3 linked regions of the Mus musculus genome follow. The protein of the gene in region 3 purifies or fractionates together with the protein of the main gene of each other region. This does not show direct contact. Links are inferred from orthologs where the notes say so. Each region holds a gene or a part of one and is shown on either strand. Other genes may lie near its edges. The genes, in order: Erbb2, Erbb4 and Lrig1.

The links.
Region 1: the proteins of Lrig1 (region 3) and Erbb2 purify together in Homo sapiens (co-immunoprecipitation; 4 studies listed by BioGRID and IntAct, with this or other methods). This does not show direct contact. The link is inferred for Mus musculus from reciprocal best matches to the Homo sapiens genes LRIG1 and ERBB2.
Region 2: the proteins of Lrig1 (region 3) and Erbb4 purify together in Homo sapiens (affinity purification with western blotting; 3 studies listed by BioGRID and IntAct, with this or other methods). This does not show direct contact. The link is inferred for Mus musculus from reciprocal best matches to the Homo sapiens genes LRIG1 and ERBB4.

What each region holds. Positions count from the first base shown.
Region 1 is NC_000077.6:98,428,930-98,433,233, reverse strand, and holds part of Erbb2 (receptor tyrosine-protein kinase erbB-2 precursor), read right to left. Parts: coding exon 4,250-4,304; intron 1,518-4,249; coding exon 1,470-1,517; intron 324-1,469; coding exon 185-323; intron 104-184; coding exon 1-103. UniProt on the Homo sapiens protein: Protein tyrosine kinase that is part of several cell surface receptor complexes, but that apparently needs a coreceptor for ligand binding. Essential component of a neuregulin-receptor complex, although neuregulins do not interact with it alone.
Region 2 is NC_000067.6:69,105,464-69,109,867, forward strand, and holds the start of Erbb4 (receptor tyrosine-protein kinase erbB-4 precursor), read right to left. Parts: upstream 2,597-4,404; 5' UTR 2,294-2,596; coding exon 2,212-2,293; intron 1-2,211. UniProt on the Homo sapiens protein: Tyrosine-protein kinase that plays an essential role as cell surface receptor for neuregulins and EGF family members and regulates development of the heart, the central nervous system and the mammary gland, gene transcription, cell proliferation, differentiation, migration and apoptosis.
Region 3 is NC_000072.6:94,609,277-94,613,580, reverse strand, and holds part of Lrig1 (leucine-rich repeats and immunoglobulin-like domains protein 1 isoform 1 precursor), read left to right. Parts: coding exon 1-17; intron 18-1,888; coding exon 1,889-2,209; intron 2,210-3,682; coding exon 3,683-3,964; intron 3,965-4,304. UniProt on the Homo sapiens protein: Acts as a feedback negative regulator of signaling by receptor tyrosine kinases, through a mechanism that involves enhancement of receptor ubiquitination and accelerated intracellular degradation.

The sequences.
Region 1 (4,304 bases), on a different chromosome or scaffold from region 3:
CTCCTGACCCAAGCACCTTCAGCTTCCTTAGCTCTGTCTCCTTTAGGATCCGCATCTGAGCCTGGTTGGGCACAGCTCCACTGGGCGTCAGCGGCTCCACCAGCTGGAGCGAGAGGGTGGTAGGGTGAATGCCCAGCTAGCTGCAAAGCCAAGGGGGTGCTAGGAGGCCCTCGGCACGCCTCACCTCGGTCTCCTGCAGCAGCCTACGCATGGTATACTTCCGGATCTTCTGTCGCCTTCGTTTGATTAGGATTCCAATGACCACCACTATGATCAGGAACAACAGGACGCCCACCACAGTTGCAATGATGAATGTCACTGGGCTGGAAACAAGAGCCAGAATCAGAGACTGGGGACTAGTTTGAGGAGGAAGCTTGAAGAGAACCCATGAAAGGACAGGAATGTCCCTTGGCTCAAAAACTTCACAGGAGATAACCCACCTTGTTAATCTGCACTGTGCAGCCCACCCCAGGGGCTTCTGCCTCATATGAAATGGGGTCCAGTTATATGTACCCCAAAACTCTCAGGTACTAGCCAAAGCATTCTTCAAGGAGCCATGGTTTCCCCTGCCTTGCAGCAGTTGCACCTAAGTTCTCAGGACCCGTGTTTCTCCATGATATAATCGTCTATGATTCTGCTTATCTTGGGGCACACAGGGTCCCTGATAGTCACCAGACCATTATTTGTTGGTATACTTAGTCTTGAGGCTACCTCACGATATAGCCCAGACTGGCTCTGAACTTACAAGCCATGTGCCTCAGTCTCCTAAGTGCTGGGGTCACAAGGTGTCTGCCACCATGTCGAGGCAGAACACATTCTTGTCACCCTTGCTTCCTTAATCCCCATCTTGCTCTGCACAAGGCCTGTTGTTACAGCCAGCGTCCAGTGTTTGCCTCACAGGCAAGCAGCAGCTTCTTAGAGCACACCCTAGACTGCTTTTCTCCCTTCTAAAGCTCTCCTCTGGCAAACCAGAGTCCTGGGGCCCAGGGGTCAAGAACCCTACCCTGCCTTCCAGATCTAGACCTCACGGCCTCAGTTCACACCCTTTCTGCACTGGTGTGGTTCACAGCACACACCAGAGAGCTCTTAGCCACCCTAGACTTGCCTGACTCTCCACCGGAGTGCAAAGAAAACACAACACCGTCCCCCCTGCCCGCCCCCACCCCATCCTGGAAGCTTCTAGGTGCCCAGCTCGGATAATCTGAGGTTTCACAAGCTGCCACTGCACTCTGCAGTTCTAGAAGCTTGGACCTGGCCTGCATCCCTAGGGAACTACATTTCCCAGCATTCCTTACTCCAAAGCATCCTGAGCAGATCTGTATCCACTTGTTGAAACAAAAAATCAGTAAAGAAAGAATGGGCTAAGGAGAGAGACAATGTGCATTCTGGGTAATCTCTCTTCATTACTGACCACGGAGGCCAATGAAGGAGTCGGGAAGTAAGGGGGTACCTCTGGGGCTCAGGCCCACCTGGCTCTCTGCTCTGCTGGGCAGCCTCGTTCGTCCAGGTCCACACATCTGCAGAAGAGAGAGAGAGAGTGCCATCATCAAACCTGGGAACAGCCTCCTGGGGCAGGTGTGGCAGGATTGTTCCCATGTGACAAGCAGAACCGGGCTCCAGGTCTCCAAATTGCTCTGTACTTGTCCACAAGAAGAGTCCCTCTTCAGTCTGGGAATCCACCTCCCCTGCACTGTTGGGACTTCCTGCGCTGGGCAGGAAGCAGGGCACTATGACGGTGGGAAGATCAGCTAGTCCCTCCATGAAAGAGGCCTAGGGTATATGGTACATGTGAGGAGAATTTGGGAAGACCTATTAAACACACAGGGTGGCTGGGCCATAGCTTAGTGGGAAAAGGTCTACAAGGTCCTGGCACCGATCTCCACCAACCAAGCAATAAAATGTCAACAGTTCTGCCCCAACAGTTGGTACTACCATGCCAACACCAGGTCACAAGAAGGCATGCACACAGATGCCCCTTTGTGTGTGGAGCTGAACAACAACAACAAAAATCAGGCCTTACTAGAAGAGGAGGTGCCTAGTCTTACTGTAACTTGATATGCCATGGCTGATCAATATCCATGGGAGGCCTGCCCTTCTCTGAGGAGAAGGGGAAGAGGAATGGACTGGGGGTTGGGGGGACTGGGAGGAGGGAAGGGAGGAAGGAAAAACTGTAGTCAGGATGAAATAAATAAATAGGCAAGCAAGAGCGACGATATCCCTCAAATAGGGCCTGTACTGAGTGATGTGCTATGAAGGGGGACATCTGTAGAGGGTAGATGGAGAAACATTTGTAGGAAAAGATACAGAGAGTGGGTGAAAGGCAGAGCACAGAATATGAAGGAAAGTGTTGGATTATATCAGGAAATGAGGGCAAGCTGGGTGGTGATGGCCCACACCTTTAGTCCCAGCGCTCGGAGGCAGAGGTAAGTAGATTTCTGAGTTCAAGCTAGTTCCAGGACAGCCAGGGCACACAGAGAAACCCTGTCTGGACAGGAGAGGACAGAGGGAGAGGGAGGAGGAGGGGAGGGATGGGGAGAGGAGAGGACTGGAGAGATGGCTAGGAGGTGAGAGCACTGACTGCTATTCCAGAGGGCCCAGGTTTGATAATCCAGCACCCACATGTCAGCTCACACCCCTCCATAACTCGAGGTCCAGGGGGTCCGACTGCCTCTTCTGGCCTACACAAGGCACCAGACAGATCTTCATGCAGGCAAAACAATCCGCACTTTTAAGTCAGCTTGATGGAAGCTACTGCCATTTGGGAAGAGGGAACCTTAATTGAGACAATGTTTCCACCATTCTGGCCTGTGCAAGCCGGTATAAGCCTGTGCACATTTTCTTGATTGATGGTTGCTATGGGAAGGCACAGGTCCTGGTGGGCAGTGCCACTACTGAGCTAGTGGTCCAGTGTACTGCAAGAAGGTAGGCTGAGCAAGCCATGCCGTGCAAGCCAGTAAGCAGAGTCCGGTCGCATCCTCTGCATCAATTCCTGCCTCCAGATTTCTATCTTGAGTTCCTGCCTCAACTTCCCTGGATGGGACTATGATGTGGAGATATAAGTTAAATAAACCCTCCCCCGCCAAGTTACTGTTTATTGTGGTGTTTATCACAGCAGTAGAAACTCCATACACACACACACACACATACACACACACACACACACACACACACACACACACACACACACACACACACACACACCTAAAAGAAAGAAACGGCCACACGTTGGTAGTTGGCAAGATGACTCAGCAGGTAAGGGTACTTGCCACCACACCTGACAACTGCATTCAATCCCTGGAACCCATAGGGTGGAAGGGAAGAGCTGACTCTTTCAGATTGTCTTCTGACATCCACAAAGTCTCCAGCACTAGGGACTTGGGGAAACAACTCAAAGTACTCACAGTAGAACCGCCAACAGTATTATTTTATATCTTATGTGTAGTTTAAAATTTCTAATGCACTACTGTACAGATTTAGTTCGGTTACATTATTTATTTGTGTGTGTATGTATGTGTGTGTTTGTGCTTGGAACTTGGAAGGCATGCATGTGCCACAACAGGCATGTGGAGGTCAGAGGACAAGCTCTGGGAGTTGGTTCTCTCCTTCCATCATGTGGGTCCTGGGAACTTAGGTGAAATCACTAGGCTTATGAGCAAGTGCCTCTACTTACTGAGCTATGTGTTAATGTGTTATTTTTAACTTTATTTACATGAATGTGTGTGAGTGTGTGTGTGTGTGTGTGTGTTGTGTACACTTGCAGAGGCCAGAAAAAGACATCAGATCTCCTCAAGCTAGTTATCAGGCAATCAAGGGTCTCCTGTAGTGTGTGTTAGGAACCAAGTTCCAGCCTTCTGAAAGCAGCGAGTCCTCTTAACTACACAACCACCTCTCCAGACCCTAAGGTGTTATTTTTTTGTAATTAGAAAAGAGATAAAAATTACACCTCCGGCTGAAGAGATGGCTCAGTAGTTAAGAGCATTGACTGTTCTTCTAGAGGTCCTGAGTTCAATTCCCAGCAACCACATGGTGGCTCACGACCATCTGTAATGGAATCCGATACCCTCTTCTGGTGTGTCTGGCGAGAGCAACTGTGTACTCACATACATAAAATTAATAAATCTTTTTAAAAAAATTACACCTCAATATAAGTGAACGTAGACTTCTGCCCCTTTCACAACAAGAGCTCAAAAAAGGCTCCCCCCATGAAGGCCCTCCTTTCTACAGAAAAGACTCCACTCCCTCCACTCACGAGTGGGTGCAGTTGATGGGGCATGGCTGACATATGCCCTCCTCATCCGGGTACT
Region 2 (4,404 bases), on a different chromosome or scaffold from region 3:
GATACACCCGAGAGCTTTTCTTTGTGCGGCCCTTTCATCTAGATCACTTTGTGTTTTGAACAAGTGAGGCTCTCTTTTGTGCCCCTAGAATTTCAAGTACAGAGTCACACACGAAACAACAATGGCACGCTAATCCTCCTGCTTCTAAATGGGCTCACTTGTGGGTCTGACAATTCGCCCAGGGAAAAGAGCAGAGGGAGCTGGGCGCAGGCTGGTGTCCTCTGAGACGCGGAAGGGGACAGCTGCAGAACTAATTTGGATTACATTCCTTGCCTAAATTCTGAAAAGGGCTTTTCGGCATAGCCCCAACCGGGAGCTGCAGAGTTAATACCAAATTGCTGTGGACTTGAAGCGGGGATCCCCCCAGCGGCCCGGGCCACGCCAGACAGCTCCCTGGTAGGGTGGCCTGATAGAAATTCCTCTCGGCTAAGCCTGCATGACAGTGGCAAGTGTTTTTGAATGGGTCAATGTGCATAATCAACCCATTGAGGGGAAAGGCAAAGGGCTCCGAGTCGGGGGCTAGAAAGGGATGTATCTAGGCGGCCGCCTGGAATCTCAAGTCCTTGCTGCTGCTCTGATTCCAGAGGTGGCTGGAGCGCAGGATCTGGTATGCAGGAAGAATTTCAGAGTCACTGGGAGTATGCAAACGGCCAGCACAAATGGCGCACATGTGCCATTCGAAGGTCATTTTGAACCGCTCAGAGATTGTAACTTGTTATTTACTAGGCGAGGAGGAAGAGGCGGGAGCGGGGGCGGAGCGGGAAAACTAGCAAGCTGCAGCTTTCTCGGTGAGGTCAGAAGGACACCCTCTAGGGACCTAAAGCTCTCCCTGTCGCCACTCCTGAATGTTTTATCTTCTCAAGCTGACGCCCACGTTCCCGCCACCAGCCCCGGAAGGTTCCGGAAATCTCTCTGCCTTCTCCAAAAGCCCTCTTCTCTCCCCTCTGGGCCAGGTCAGACACACAGATTCTCCTTAGTCCTTTCGCGTCCCCTCCTCTCATCCCCGGGGTAACTCCCAAGAGTCAAGAAACTTTGAGCTCCTCTACATCGCAGCTGCTGTCATTGGCTCTGGCGGCCCCAGCACGACAGCGACACTGTTTCTCTCGGGGTCAATTAGTCCTTTTTCTGTCCAAATACCTGGGGCTTGGGCGATCCAGCCAACAGTGGCAGCGCTCAGGACGCCGCCACCCGGCCCGCCTCGGGCTAAGTCAGTGAGCGCCACCCGCGAGCTCTGCAGCCCGGCAGGGCAGTAAACAGAAGTTTAGGCCAACCCCAAGTTGCACTACTGGAAGAACTCTTCCCAGAGCCAAGTCCAGCATGGGGAGGGAAGGCCGAGCTCTGGACTCAGTATGCCAGGCTCTTTTAGAGAGAGAGAGAGAGAGAGAGAGAGAGAGAGAGAGAGAGAGAGAGAGAGAGAGAGAGAGAGAGAGAGAGAGAGAGAGAGAGAGATCATGCTGGCTGAAGAGTCGCACGCCCAACACACACACACACACACACCCTCTTTCTCGCCCCAAGTCAATCTCAAGACAGCCTAGAGATGCCAACTAAGAAGGCCCAGAGTCCCTGGCCCCCGGCCGAGGCGCGCACCCGGTGCGCTCCAGCTGCCCGGATAGGGCTGGGCGTCCGGTGTGACCCCGCAGGCTACTGGAGACTCGGGCCAGGGACCCTGCGCCAGCATGCTCAGGTGCCAAGCCCGGCTCCCCGGCCGCGCTCCGCCGCAGCCCTGCACCCCGGGGAAGGCCAGCCAGGCTCAGCTCAGGAACCTCCTGGCAGCCCGAAGAGGTGCAGCGATTCTCCGGTTTGGTTTGATTCCCCCCCCCCCCCTTCCCAGCTCGAGAAGGAGGGAACCTCCACTGACGGGCTCAGGTCTCCCACGCCCCGAACAACGGGCGCCACCAGAAGCGATCCCGCTTAGGCTCCCAGAAAACGCGCGAGAAAGAAAGAAGGGGGCTAAAGAGAGGGCGAGAGGGGGGACAATAATATAGAGGGTGGCAGGAAAGCGAAGTCATTTGTAGCATCAATTAAAAACACACGCACGCACACACAAAGGTAAGTTTGGGATGGAGCTAGGGGCGACCCAAGGCAGAAGCCCGGTCCCTAGGGTCCCTGGAGCCTAAGGGTGACAGAGGGGCGAGGGAGAAGGGAAACACCGGAGGCAGTGGCGGGTTCAACAGCTGGAGCGCGACCGGGAACCGCGAGACCGCGACCCACCTGACTGAGAAGCGCTGGGCTGGACGGTCCCCGCTGCCATCAGAAGGCTCCCCCAGACCCAGAGTCCCGTCGCCAGCTTCATTTTTGGCAAGTCTCAGATCCCGCGCTGACAATTACATGTCCAAATACCATAGCCACTTGCGAGCACGCGGAGGAGATCTCCCCCCCTCAGCCGGGAGCGCGTGGGGGGCGCAAGGGGGGCGGGCGCGGCGCGCTTGGTGCACGGGCTTCCCGGGGCCGGAGAGCCAGTCGGCGACGGCGGCGGCTTCCAGGACCCGTGGACCCGCGGACCCGGCAAGGGGCCGCGGAGGAGGGCGCGCGGGTGGGAGTGAGCGCGACTGTGCGGCTGGTGCTCCGAGCACAACGTACAGCTAGTTCCCGGAGTGATCCTCCGCTCGCTCGTTCCCTCCTCACTTTCTCGCTCGCTCGCTCGCTCTCCTCACTGGTTGGTCAACAATAAAAAGAAAGAGGGAATAAAGGCTTCCAAAAAAAGTTGATTGCAAAGAGGCGGCGGGGTTCCGGCCTCTCCCCCCAAAACCGGGCTATGTTCAGCTCTCTCTTCAGTCTCCTTGCACCTCCTGTCCAAATCTGGAGGGAAAAGGAGGGGGTGTTGCTTCTTTGCTTCTCCCCGATCCTGTCCCCCTTTTTTTCCACTGTCAGCTTTCCTCACACTTGTCCAGCCATTGCAGTAATTAAAGCTCCGAACGTCATTTCCAACGCTCCGCGGTCTCCAGCCGCAGCCCCACAGAGAAATTAATAAGAGTCAGAAGAAAGATTTTTGAAAAAGAAAAGAAAAGAAAAGAAAGAAAAAAAAGAGGGGAGTGGGGGGTGGGAATCAAACAACCCTCCACACAACCAGCCAGGCTTTCCTCCGCTGCGCAAGCCCCGCCCCTGCTCTGACCCATGTAGCCACGCCCTCCCCCTAAGGAGAAATCTTATTGGCTCAGACACTCCCCAAAATCCTCTGCCTCTAGAGTTGGAAAAACACCTGTCAGACAGTGGGAGCAGCAGGGTCATGGTAGGAGCTTGGGGAAGCAGGATCTGAGAAGCTCAGTGGAGACCACTGTCTGAAACGCTCCCCTTGGGGCTGCCCCGGCAGAGGCCCTGGACAGCTGGCCCGCTGAGTAGTCAGTCCACCAGAAGGAATGCTTGCTGAACGAATTTTTTGACACAAGAACAGGGCATTTTCTTTATTGCTCCAAGGTGTCAGTCCATACACAGAACCTTCCCTAGAAATAGAAAGTCAACGTTGCTTTGGGAATAAAATATCTTTGTCCCTCGCCATCACCCAGAATATTCCATACTTAGCATACTTAGTACTTTAGAATGGATATTGTAGGTAGCTGGTAGCCTCGCAGGTAAGATGAAATCTTCCAATAGTTTTTTTTTTCCAAATAAGCCATCTCTCCCACCTTCCCAAGATGACATTGGGCCAAACTTAAAAATCCATATTTGTGAAACCACATTCTTTGATTCTGAAATTATGCAAACTCTCTCGTCTGTGCTGTTCGGTCTGAAGGTGTTTAGGAGGTGAGATCTTAGCTGACCTTCGAGCCGTTAGGGCCACGCCATAGCAGGGCCAGCTTGAGGCCCTGCACTTGCCCTCTTTGCAGGGTGTGTGCTTCCAAGGTCATCAACCGCTGTACGACTAAGTTTCTCTAAGTCTAAAATGCCCTGGAAGGGATTACTGTAGTCTGAGAGGCCACAGGTCTAAAACTGCTCTATGCTGGGGCCAGAACCTGTAGTGAGTCAGAGGATACTCCTTTGCTATGTGTACAGCTATTCTATGAAGGCATTTTCTATGCTTGCTCTCAAAGCAGTGACTAAATATATACAAAAAAAAAAAAAGCAAGGGTGCTTTAAAACCAAACCACCCTACTTCCTCGGTCACTATTGGAGTCCTTCCCCATCTCCCACATCTTCTGACTATGATCCCATCCCTTAAGAATTCCCAGGCAGCTGAAAACAGCAGTAGCAGAAGCCTGAAGCTTGAAGCCTTTCCTTGGCCCCACAGTGTGTAACAGGCCCACTGCAGGTCAAACAAACTGCGTGTGCTTTTTATCCAGAAGCAGCCCAGGGCAGAGAAAAAATGGATCCCCAGAGCCAGAGAAGGGGCCTTGACTAGAATGGCACTGACTACAGAAGCACATGCACCGGGCTTGGGAGTTATCTCTATTTTCGTCTTTATCTCAT
Region 3 (4,304 bases):
AGACAGCTTTGTGTGTGGTAAGATTATCCTTGAGGTTTTTGGTTTTGTTTTTGATGTAGGGCAGAGAGGCCAGGAAGAACGTCTCATCATAAGACTGATTCCTGTGACCCTAGTTAGTGTAGTCCATGGTTACAGATCAGCTGCTGGGTGCAATTTATTTCCCACGGAAACCACATGTATTTACTGCACAGTGCCTCATTCTGTGGTTCTTGGAGTACACATATTTAATTAAAAAGGGGTAGGTTTAGCTACAAATCTAAATAACTGGTTACAGTGCGATAGTTCTGATCTTTTCAGAAGGGTCCTGGGCCCAGGTTTGGCTGTGAATGAGTGCATGGGGATAGGGTTTCAATGTGTGTTTCTTTCCAGCTCTAAGAATGAGAGGTTAAACACAGGAAGAGCAGGTCTCAGGAGAGCAGCCACTGCAGTAAAAATAATTCCTCCATGTTGACTTGCACTCTTGCTGCTTGTCCAACCCGCTGAAATGTGCACTGGGAGAGTCTCTTTCCTCCACTTTGCTGGAACATAGATTTAACCATCTTCTTGACCAGTGGTAGTCAGGACCCAAGTTTAGTTACAGAGAGCACAGAGAACACGGAACAGCTGAAACACACCCACAGGCTAGCTCTGGCAGGACTAGCATAGCCTCCTAGCTAAGGAGATGGGATCCAAGACCGAGAAGACCGTTGAGGTCTCGTTGAGGTCTGTCTGGGTTGCTCTGAGCAGCAGTGGGAATGCATGATCCTCCTGTCAGTGGTTCCCTGTGGCCTCACGGAGCTACAGGATCACTTCCTGAACGATGCTAGTTATGACCCATCTAGCAGCCTGGGTGTCCCGGGCCACTTGTCCGACCTTTTCCCTGTGAGTTATGCCTGCTAGAGGTAAGACAAGCATCCTCTACCTCCCACTGCATTAATTCCCAAAGCAGGCTTGCTGACTCTCGGTGCACTGGCTACCTGGGTAGAATCAGGGTTGTGCAGACAGCACCCTAGTCACATTAGAGCAGGCAGCACTTTACAGCCAGTGCTAATTGACTCCACACTCATTAACTTGTTTAGGTTTTCTCAAGTTAAGTTGTCTTTGGCTTCCCCCTCTGTCTGGTGGAGGGCAGTCTTCTGTTTCCCTAAAACCTGATCCCTAGTTGGTGACCATGCTACACTGGGCATTGTAGCAATCCCCTCAGAACTACCCACCCACGGTTCATGAGAATCCTTGGTAGGAAATCAGAGGTTCAAACTCTGCTCCCTGTCTCCCACTTGTTTCTAAGAAACAGAAATGGCCACCATACACATTCTAGGAAATCAGCATGAAGCTAGGTGATGACAAGAACAGATGAGATGGGGAGGTCCTTTTGTGGAGGAAGCCTCGCTATGTAGACAGCACAGTATCGGCTCCTGGGCCCACCCTGGGATCCATCCAAGCGGATGGGAGCAGCTCTGACCAAGTGCTCAAAGAGCGTTTCTCATAACAGCCCCAGCTGGAGCAACCCAGACACCCATGCATAGACAGTAGGCAGGTAGCTATGCCATGGGACATTAGGTCAGTCTGTCTGTCTCACAGCATGGGTGAATTTTGACAATGATCTGCCAAGTGAAAGAAGTCTCATGAAATGTCTAGAATAAAGGACCCCATAGAGGTCAGAAATGTATGTCACCAGTCCCACTGGTGAGCAGTGGAGACAGAAGGGAGAGCTAAACAGGACAGCCTTCTCTGTTAGAGATGATAAAAACATTTAATATCGATTGTGCCAGTGATTACAACTATTTGTGAATACACAGCGACCGCCGTGTCTGGTGGAACTGACTCGCAAGTGACCAGTTCCTTGTCAGCCTGAACATTTGCTGGTGTCCGAACAGAACAGGGGTCTTACACTTGGTTCTCTCCCTAGATGACTTTCCAAAGCCACAGATCATCACCCAGCCTGAGACGACCATGGCTGTGGTGGGCAAGGACATCCGTTTCACATGCTCCGCAGCCAGCAGCAGCAGCTCACCAATGACCTTCGCCTGGAAGAAGGACAATGAGGTCCTGGCCAATGCAGACATGGAGAACTTTGCCCACGTCCGTGCACAGGACGGCGAAGTGATGGAGTATACCACTATCCTGCACCTCCGTCACGTCACCTTTGGGCACGAGGGCCGCTACCAGTGTATCATCACAAACCACTTTGGCTCCACATACTCCCACAAAGCCAGGCTCACTGTGAATGGTAAGGACATGGCATCTCGTGCTTCTCAAGCACAGAGTCCCACAGACTACACTGCTGATTGTCCTCTCTGACACTGGTGTGAAGAGACACGAGCCGTGGGGTGCATCTCTTTGTACCAGTCCTTGGGTTTGTCCCAGACCAAGTTTAACAGATTGAACCATCGTTTTTTGTTTGGGGTGGGAGATTTTTAAAGTCCAGTTATGTTAAGTGACATTGTGGAGTTAAGCTTTGTATTTTTATGTTCCTTGTCTTCCATAAGCCAAGAGATGCGGTTTCTAGATTCCAAGCATCCCTAGGTTCTAAGGAAGCTTGTGACCTTAGAGTAGATGTTATAACTGGGAGCAAGGCCGTTTGGGACAAGTACAAGCCCCACTTCCTCTAGAACAATGGTTCTTAACCTTCCTAATGCTTGACCCCTTAATATAGTCCCTCATGCTGTGCTGACCCCCAACCATAAAACTACTTTCTTTGCTATTTCATAACTGTAACTTCGCAACTGTTATGAATCACAGTGTAAATATTTTTGAACATAGAGGTTTGCCAAAGGGGTTCATGATCCACAGGGTGACCCATTGTTCCGAGCCGCTACTCTTCAGGCTGTGGAGAGCAGGTGTGGGTTGAGCCCCTGGCTCCGAGGTCCAGTGTGCAGGGAAGTTGTGACAAGGGTCTCTTACTCAGGAGCCAGCCCCTGGCCATCAGGGTGGCTTTCTTCTGGACTACTGATGGATGTGGTATGTTGAGGGATGAGGACAGCATCAGTAGCTAACTCTTCCACACTAGGCTAAGCTGGCTTGTGGGTGGCCTGAAGCACTGCCTCCATGCTCTCTGCTATTGTACAACACCACAAAGCACTCTACCACAGCGAGGCTGGCCTAAGAGAGGCCAGAGTGTTTCTTGGAGACCAAGTAGCTGTAGACTCTCCACCACAGTAGCTCAGACATCAAGTCTGGATACTGTCCACTGTGGCAGCATTGATACTAAAGCTACAGAAGCGAACGAACTACATATTTTTGCCTGGGTGTGGCTGGTAGTGTAGCCCCCATAGACCCCACCCAGAGTGGGTTTCCTCAAGAGAGGTGAGCCAGCTCACTGGTTCCTCCTGGTGACAGCATCCAGCTATCCCCTAATAGCAAATGTTTTGTTGCCCAGCTCTCTCCAGATAGCTAACTAAAGCAGGTCAGCACCAGACTTTTACTTCTGGAGGATTCCCTACATAGTAACTACTGTGGAGCTTCGGGAGGCAAAACGCTCCATCAGAAGCCTTCCGAGAGTGCTTAGCACCAGGCTATAGCAATAGGAAGGCGTTAAGGGTAATGGGTGCAGTATTGTGTCTGTGACGGGGAGAGGCTGGGCACCCCTTGGGTGGGATGGAGTAACAATGAACTGAGGCCTGGGCACAGTGGGATCTGTTTACTATGAGTTTCCTTTTGTATGCAGCCATTCCAAGTAGCTTTACCTATCATTTTTTTCCAGTGTTGCCATCATTCACTAAAATACCCCATGACATTGCCATCCGGACTGGCACCACAGCCCGCCTCGAGTGTGCTGCCACGGGCCACCCTAACCCTCAGATTGCCTGGCAGAAGGATGGAGGCACCGATTTCCCGGCAGCTCGTGAGCGACGCATGCATGTTATGCCAGACGATGATGTGTTCTTCATCACTGATGTGAAAATAGACGACATGGGGGTCTACAGCTGCACTGCCCAGAACTCGGCAGGCTCGGTTTCAGCCAACGCTACCCTCACAGTCTTAGGTTCGCTACGACAGCTCTCGCGCACGTGTGGCAGGGTCGGGTGGGGATTCAACTCAAGTATTAGAGAACCTGCTTTCTGGAGTCCCTGTGGTAGACTCTGTCTAGTTAATTTGAATTTTGGGGCTGCTTTTAAGCGAGTAGTTTCAGCTCATAAAAGACAATGAGCTATATGTTAGTCTGCGTGAGAATTCTGTGTGTGTGTGTGTGTGCACTCACACAGGTGGGCTATGATCTTAGGAGTAGTGACAAAGGTCTATAACAGGACAGTTTGGGATAGGGTAGGGCTTTAGTTCTTTGCTCTGTTGAGCTGTTCCTAGAATGGCAGTGATTTAATTACATT